2 linked regions of the Notamacropus eugenii genome follow. The protein of the gene in region 2 binds, or shares a complex with, the protein of the main gene of each other region. Links are inferred from orthologs where the notes say so. Each region holds a gene or a part of one and is shown on either strand. Other genes may lie near its edges.

The links.
Region 1: the proteins of KIT (region 2) and SOCS6 are in contact, whole or in part, in a crystal structure (PDB 2VIF), measured with the Homo sapiens proteins. The link is inferred for Notamacropus eugenii from reciprocal best matches to the Homo sapiens genes KIT and SOCS6. Residues at the interface, in NP_000213.1 of Homo sapiens: Asn566, Asn567, Tyr568, Val569, Tyr570, Ile571, Asp572, Pro573, Thr574; in NP_004223.2 of Homo sapiens: Arg391, Glu395, Arg409, Asp410, Ser411, Ser412, Asp413, Ser419, Phe422, Thr428, Leu429, His430, Thr431, Arg432, Phe442, Tyr443, Glu444, Gln445, Val448, His460, Asp464, Ala469, Phe470, Cys471, Tyr472, Ser473, Arg474, Ser475, Arg476, Thr482.

The regions. Positions count from the first base shown.
Region 1 is NC_092875.1:216,251,681-216,255,591, reverse strand, and holds the start of SOCS6 (suppressor of cytokine signaling 6), read left to right. Parts: upstream 1-1,027; 5' UTR 1,028-1,275; intron 1,276-3,911. UniProt on the Homo sapiens protein: SOCS family proteins form part of a classical negative feedback system that regulates cytokine signal transduction.
Region 2 is NC_092877.1:106,137,183-106,141,093, reverse strand, and holds the start of KIT (mast/stem cell growth factor receptor Kit), read right to left. Parts: upstream 2,640-3,911; 5' UTR 2,511-2,639; coding exon 2,447-2,510; intron 1-2,446. UniProt on the Homo sapiens protein: Tyrosine-protein kinase that acts as a cell-surface receptor for the cytokine KITLG/SCF and plays an essential role in the regulation of cell survival and proliferation, hematopoiesis, stem cell maintenance, gametogenesis, mast cell development, migration and function, and in melanogenesis.

The sequences.
Region 1 (3,911 bases), on a different chromosome or scaffold from region 2:
GATAGTGACAGGCAAAGATAAGAAGGCAGTATGATTCAGGCAAGGGGAACAGCCTAAACAAATGAATGGAGGGAGGAGATGGAGTACCAAGTGTGGGGAATAGATAATTGTATAATTTGGCTGGAATGTAGAGTTTGTGAAGTGAATTAATATGAAATAAAGCAGAAAATGTAGGTAGATACCAGATATTGGAAGGCTTTAAGTGCCAGGTTTATAAGTTAATATCTATTCTAGAAGTCAGAGGGAACCACTTAAGCTTTTGGAGCACATGGATGATATGACAAAATCTGTAATTTAAGAAAATAATTAAAGTGGAGGACAGATTGAAGGGTGTTGAATGGGAAGTCCAGAAGCAGGGAAATCATTTAGGAAGCTATTACGATAATTCGGGCAAGAGACAATAAGGATAAAAAAACAAGTTGATAATTATGGGAGGGAAGAGGATTGTAGTGAGAGATGTGGAAGATTTGATACAAGATTTGATAACTGAATATGGGGGATAAAATAGACAAGAACAAAGAATGCTTCCAAAATTACAAACATGGATGACTAGGAGGATGGTGGTGTCTTCAACAGAAGTAAAGAGGTTTAGAGGAGAGGAAAATTTAGAAGGGAGAAAATCATGAGTTTTATTTTTGACAAAGTGAATTGGAGATGACAAAGGGATATACAAGAGAAATATGTTCATCAAATAGCTATGCTCTCTCCCTCCTCGATATTTCTTGGGTCATACTTAATTTCTGTACATGTTGCATCACTTCTCTCACAATATGTTTCATGAGAGCAGGGATTATTTCATTTTTCTCGTGTTCCCAATGCCTAGAACAAAGCTTTGCCCACAGTATATGATTAATAAGTGTTTGTTGGATTGAATTTAATTGAAATATGTCACCAAAGTTCAGGAGAGTGATCAGAGCTAGATTTCAGAGTCATCTGCATACAGATGAGATGAGACATGATGAGATCATAAAGAGAGAAATTGTCAGAAAAGGATAGAAGTATGTCCAAGGCAAAACTCTGGGGGAAACCCTAGCCAAGAGGAAGAGATAGGTGATGGTCCAGTAAAGAAAACTTAGAAAGTTAAATAGGCAGGAGTAGAACAAACAGAGCAGTATCAAGGAAGCCAAGATAAGAAAGGACTCAAGAGGAGAGGAAGTAAACATTGACCAAAGCTGCATAGAGATAAAAAAACAATGGGGACTGAGAAGAAACCCTAGAATTGGCAACAAAGAAATCATTGGCAGACTTTGACAGAGCACTTCCATCATGATTAAGGTAGAAATAAGATTGTAAGGATCTGAAAAGTGATTGGTTGGTGAAAAAATGGTATAGGTAACTGGCTGTAGATGATTCAGATAAATGGCTTTATAAGCATCTTGTTTTCAAAGTTAATCTTTTGACTTATGTAGAATTCATGTCTTCTTCCAAAGTTGTCTTTTTCTTCTCTTTGGCTAAATCTTTCACTCCTGTTTTTGTTTTTAATTTTGTCTATTATTTTCTTCTTTCAGAATCTCTATTATTTGAGATAGTCTGCCGTGTTCTAAACTGTCTCCTCTGTGATTTTTTTGTTCATTTCTTCTTTAAGAACTCTTATTTCTGACCTAGTTACAATCATAATTTCATATTGAAATGCATTTTATGGTATGCATTCATATTAAATTCATATTAAAATGCATAAGTAACATTTCTATATTTTTACCAATAAAACTTTCAGAAGAGGGTGGTGTTTGTATCTTAAAACACTCATATGCTGAATATTAGGCAGAAAAGATATTGCCTCTGGATTCACTGCTCACCAATCATTTGAACTGGTTGTTGCATGTAAATAGAGCCTTCATCACTTGAAATATCTGTTTCTGATCCATCGTCTGATTCTAGTGGTCATTGCACAACAGACAGCTGGTCTGTACCACTTTAAGTCTACAGAAGTAAGTGTCCATCAGAATCAATTTGTCAATCAGGGAGTCCAACTAATTCACAATTGGCAGCAAATGATTGCAGTGAATTATTTTTACAGGACCTTTGCCAATCTCTAGTGATATTTTGTAAACAGGAAAGTCTTCCCACAATTAAGTATGGAGTAATTTCCATCAGTCTGTTAACTTGTGTATCCCATGAACATCAAGGTTTCTTAGCAGAACTCTGTCATCATGTTGAATGTCTTGACAGTGAACATGGACATGATATTGTCATTTATTTCCCTCAGCATCCTTCTGAGTTAAGATTGTAGCTAGAAAGCAAGGTTCTTTCAGCTACTCTCATTTAAGAGGTCATGAATATCTGTAGCATCTCCTTTCTCAGAGACTTGTTGCTCAGTCGTTTTTCAGTTGTGTCAGATTTTTCATGATCCCATTTGGTGTTTTCTTAGCAAAAATATTGGAGTGATTTGTCATTTCCTTCTTTAACTCATTTTACAGATGAAGAAATTATGGCAAATGGGTTAAATGATTTGTCCAGGGTCACACAGCCAATTAAGTGTCTGAGGTCAGATTTGAACTCATTAAGAGTGCTGGACTTTTTGTCAGGGAGACCTGAATTCAAATCTGACCTCAGACACTTAATTAGCTGTGTAATCCTGGGCAAGTCACTTAACCTCTTTCAGTCTGAATTTCCCCATCTGTAAAATGGAGATAATAATTGAGTTTACCTTGAAGTATTGTTGCTATTGTGATGATGATGCTGATGCTGTCAGTGTCCCTAACATTTTTATTAGAGTGTTATTAAAATCCTCAGGTTGTGAGTCTACTTTAGGGTGGTAAAGTGTCATTCTAGACTTCTTGATAGCAAAGACAACAACTTCTTGATAAGTATATTTCCAAAGTCCTTATGGACCCTAGTAGAAAGTTCATACATAAAGAAGTGTTTTTCCATAGTACCTTAGCTACTTTGGAAGCTTTCTGTTTTCTGGTTGGCTGTAACTTTGCATATCTAATGAAATGGTTAGTCATTACCAATATATGACTTATGTTCTTGCTATCGCTTTCCAAAGATAGTTTGTCAATGTAGGGAAGTTTCAAAGGTTTACTAATATTTATATTCTGCAAATATGCAGCAAGAGTTGGCAATAATTTTCTTTGAACACGTCTTATACCTCTTGGGGATACCTGAAGTCATTTTTAGGTGAGCAAAGTCGGTTTCTTAGTAGCTCTCAAATCCTTTCTTGTCCTATATGTCTAAGTCATCATGAGAAGTTTTTGCAGTCATAGAAATATGAATTTGATAGCACCAACTACTTCCTGGTGCTCTGTATGTGAATATTGATCATCCAATCCAGTACTGCATTGCATCCTTCCAATTTTTGCCATTACCTCAACAGTACAATGTCTTCAACTGACTGGTTCTGACTTTATGGACCTGCTTCTTGGTTCATATGACTTTATATATTCATTTATCAGCCTTTTGCTCTCTTCGCTAACCATTTGTTCTCTTTGCCACAATCAACTAAGGCAAAAAACGTTGGTTAAATGCAGTAAAATTCATGTATGCTGCTGGCATGCAGTCTAATGGAAGCCCCAAACTTTTGTTTCTACTTACAGTTGCTTGTATATAGTCGAGTTCTTTGGGTATCACATATAGCTTTTACTATTTCTATTGGTTTCACCAAGGCTTTGCTGTTTTGTGACTTTCTAGATGGGAGATCTGCATCCACATTGGTCCCTGGTTGGTAGTGAATGCTCAAGTCAAAGTTGAATCCATTTCTGGCAAACAGCATCCAATGAGGCACTGGTCAAAATATATCAATAGAATGCTATCTTTCCCCATTTGTAACTATGCTTCATATATAATGTCTGAATTTCCCAGTAACAGCCCACTCCCGTGCACAGGTAAAAATCTGTGTAATTGAGGTATAAAGCTCTAGGGGAAAAAATTCTGTCTGCAGAAAGAGGAGAACAAAGAAGGGATGGAAGAAG
Region 2 (3,911 bases):
CCAGAATATCTTCTGTCCTCTGTCTCTGGATGGTTCTTGCCCAACACCGCAGCAGCGGCAGGAAGAGGGACCTTATGATTCACTGCTGCTGCTGGCAGTTTCATCCTGCTTCTGACATTAATTCGGGTAGAAAGCTGCATCAATGCACACACACACACAGAGACAGAGACACACACACACACACACACACACACACACACACACACACACACACACACACACACACACACACACACACACACTTTTCTTACCACCTAAAGGAAAGAACACCAGGAGATCCAACCCTGCAGGGAGAGAGGCTGGAGTAGAGTTGGGAGTCTGAGGCACCAGGTAAAAAATTGGGGGGGGGGGGCCTCTGTATACATCAAGTGTATCAGAGGACATACATTAGTTCTGAGCCCAGGTGACGAAGAGAGGCTGGAAAAAAAAATTCGCTATGCAAAAAAGTATATTGAAAGAGGCAAAGTATCAAGCAGGAGAGGAAATTGACTTCACAGAGGACCCCAAATAGACACTGTTCTGGCTTGGCTGGCTGTCAGCAGAGCTCTGCTGAGATCTAGCTGTCCTCTCCAAGGGCACCGAGGGGGCTCAACTGCTAAGGCTAGATGCTCCGAATGCGTCAGGGAACCCAGTCCGGCGTTTCCATCCCAGTCCAGATGAGGACAAGAGTCCGGAGCGCCGAGGTCTCTCCTCCCCCCACAGGAAAAGCTTTACAATGCCGAAAAACAAACATCTGAGCGGGCACGCTAAGCTTTTACAAGTTGCAGGGAAACTCCGACCCAGTGCCTCTGGTGTTTTCATTCATTCCCACAATAGCGAGTAAATGGCTGAATTCCCTTTTCCTGACCTCAGTCAGATCGGAGGGGGCAGCAAAGCTTTCCATTCACCCTCACACACTAAAAGCCCACGTTTAGCTCTTTTATTTTCATCTTTCAGGTTGCACAAAGGGAATGGAAGCAAAACTCCCTCCTCTCCCGGGAGGTGGTGGAATATAGGTGAGGAATGCCTCATTTATCACGGTCAGGAATGGTCAACATATGTTACTTAGCTGTTACCTTCTTTGTTGGAGAAGGAATGGGTTTTTTTGAGCATTTTTTTAAAGGACACTCTTAAGAACTAGGGTCCTAAGGACCATTTACCACCAGACGGCCACCCAATGCGGGGAGAGGCAGGGAGAGGATGGTGCAGATTAGCAGGCGCTCCATAGATATTTGCAGCATCGAGGGATCAAGGTTCCCTCCAAGTTCCAAACCGCTGCCTGTCGGTGCATGGGGACTTTCCTAGAATCCGCCTTTAATACTAGATCAAAATGTGCTTTTTGGCGTCTCCTCCTACTATCCCACTTGCTGCGCGCCAGTTTCCCTCTTGGGAATCCCTAGATATCCTAAGAATCCAGGGGGCCGAGGAGGCACCGGCCGCAGGTCCCTCCCGCAGCCCAGCGCCGGTGCCTCGTCCTTCCACTGGGAGCGCGCGCCGCTTTAAGTTGGGGAGCGCACCGGGTAAATGGCTCAGCGCCTTCCCTCCTCCCGCGCGGGAGCCAAAGCGCAGGACCCAGCGGCCCCCTCCCACCGCGTCTGGAAGGAGGAAAGGCGGGAGGGATGAATGAGCCTTGCAGCCACCCCAGCAAGGAAGTGGGACGGGATTATTATTATTTTTAAGTCTGCAGCCTCCTTTATGGACACCTCTGGCCGCAGGATGTGCAGCCCCAGACCCGCACGCTGCGGGTTCCCAAGGTTAAACACCAAAGGAGCGTGCAGTTCATTTCCAAAGGCCAGAAGAGGGGGACGGTCCGGAGGTACGCCGGCCACCGCGGTGGGTGACTGCAGGAACCAAAGGGTCTGCCTCAGTCCGTCCCCTGTCCTTCCACACCCGCGTTCCCCCGGCACAAAGGGTGCCCGAGGCTTTGCACAGCAGGCAGAGGCGGCTGGAGGCCAGGAAAGAGCCCAGGAGGGCCAACTTTCCCTTTCCACCGAGCCCAGAACCTGCTGGACTCGGACGCGCCGGCCGCAGACAACTTTCAACAAAAGGAAGCTGCGGCCGAACGCCTTCCAACGTGGAGAGCTCCAGTTTCACGATCCATCCCCCGGCCCTCCGCACCCACGAGCTCCACACAAAAGAAATCCAAAGGCACCCCCGCGTCCGTCCCCCGCAGCCCCCTCTGGCCCAGACTCACTCCCGGTGGCTCCCTCTCAGCTCCACCCGGCCCAAACGCTTTGTTTCTGCCCAAGGGAGCAGGTACACCCTCCTAAGCGCAAGTAAAAGGCTCGGGAAACCCAAAGGGAAGTCTCATGCGTGCCTACCCCTCCAGAGCCCTCCGGACCCGGGGCGCACGAGAACCGCCAGGACCTTCACACGCTCCCCCGGAGCACAGGTTTTGCAAGGTGGATAACATTCCCAGGAAAAATAAGAGGGGGCAGAAGGTGCGTGTAGGTAGCAGCTAACCCACCTGTCTGAAAGCTCAGCAGAATCAGGAGACCCAGCAAATCCCAGGCACCAGGAGCCCCGCTCATCCTGCAGCTGCTCGGGGTCGGAGCTCAGCTCCGCGGTCCTCCTGCAGTCCAAATGCACCCAGCGCGGCACACCAGCGAAGCCCCCGGAGCTGGGAGCCGGGCGAGCAGAGGATAGCCAAGGAGAGCAGCCCCTCCTCCAGCGCCCTCCCCCTGCGCGGCGGCCACGCCCCTCCTGGCTCCCCTCCTCTCCCTCTCCCTCTCTCTCTTCCTCTGGCTCTCTCCCACTTCTAACCCCTGCCAGCCCCCCGCTCGGCTCCCTCTCTCTAGACGTGCGCACTCCCGATCCGGGAGGAGGTCACGATTGGACACCTTCTCCCGCCCCCTTCCAGTCCTCCGGAGCCGCCTTCACCTTTCCTCGGCTGGGCTGTGGTCTGGACGCCGGAGGTGTTTACCGGACTAGGACTGCCTTGCCCGAGTGCTTGGTGAAGCCATTGCCCTGCCCGGCACCACCTGCTAATGAGCCATCGGGGCGGGTGCCTCCACCTGGCAGGTGCTCACTCAGACAATAAGGCTGCTAGGCGCCCGGGCTAGGGACCTGTTCTGGGCTCAGCCCCTGACCAGAATCCCAAACTGACCACTGCAGTTCTCTGCCAGTTCAAGTCATCCGAGGAGGAGGAGGCTGGGAGCCAAACCTTATCTACACTTCCAGTGCCAAGCACAATGGTTGAGAGGGCAAGGCGCTCGATTTAAAATTTAAAAAAAACAAACAAACAACTGATGTTAATTTTCTCCAACTGTATTGTTGGAGGGAAAATGTTCGCTTCTAAACTCGAGGGCTTAACTCTAGCCCGGGAAGCCCCTGCGCTACACTGAGGGCTACGTTTCCGAGATTGGAGTGGGAAAAGGGATTTTTGTAAAGTGTGGGGAGAAGAGAGGATTAAAATGATTGCTCCAAGCCATCCTGAACCCCCTCTTCTTCTGTTGTCTTGTTTCTTAACCCCTTCACAATGGTCACTGTTCCCTATTGACAAAGAGGACCATGCCCATTTCTACGGTCTTTTCAGCATTTTCTCCCACCTTTCAGACTTGAGAGAACAGTACGATTATAATGAGGGAGGCTGGAGGGCTTCTAGCACCTTCCTGTCTATGGACCTTCCAATTCAGGCAAAAATTATCCCACATCCCACGTCCACAATCTCAGGGGATAGTAAGTAAGTGTAGAGAAAGAATGCCCAGACACTCAAATGGGTCAGTGATCTCTCCCTAATGAGGTGCAAATCTCAACTCATTCATGCCTGCTCACCCTCCTCACCTCTTTTCTTCCCATAAATTTGCTACAGAAGTCCAGTCAACATGGGGGGGTTAGGGTGAAAGTTAGGTTAAGGTTTAGGATTAGTGTTATAACATATGCATACATATTTGGTAATTTAGCAAGAACAGAAAGAAAAGAAAACCCATGTA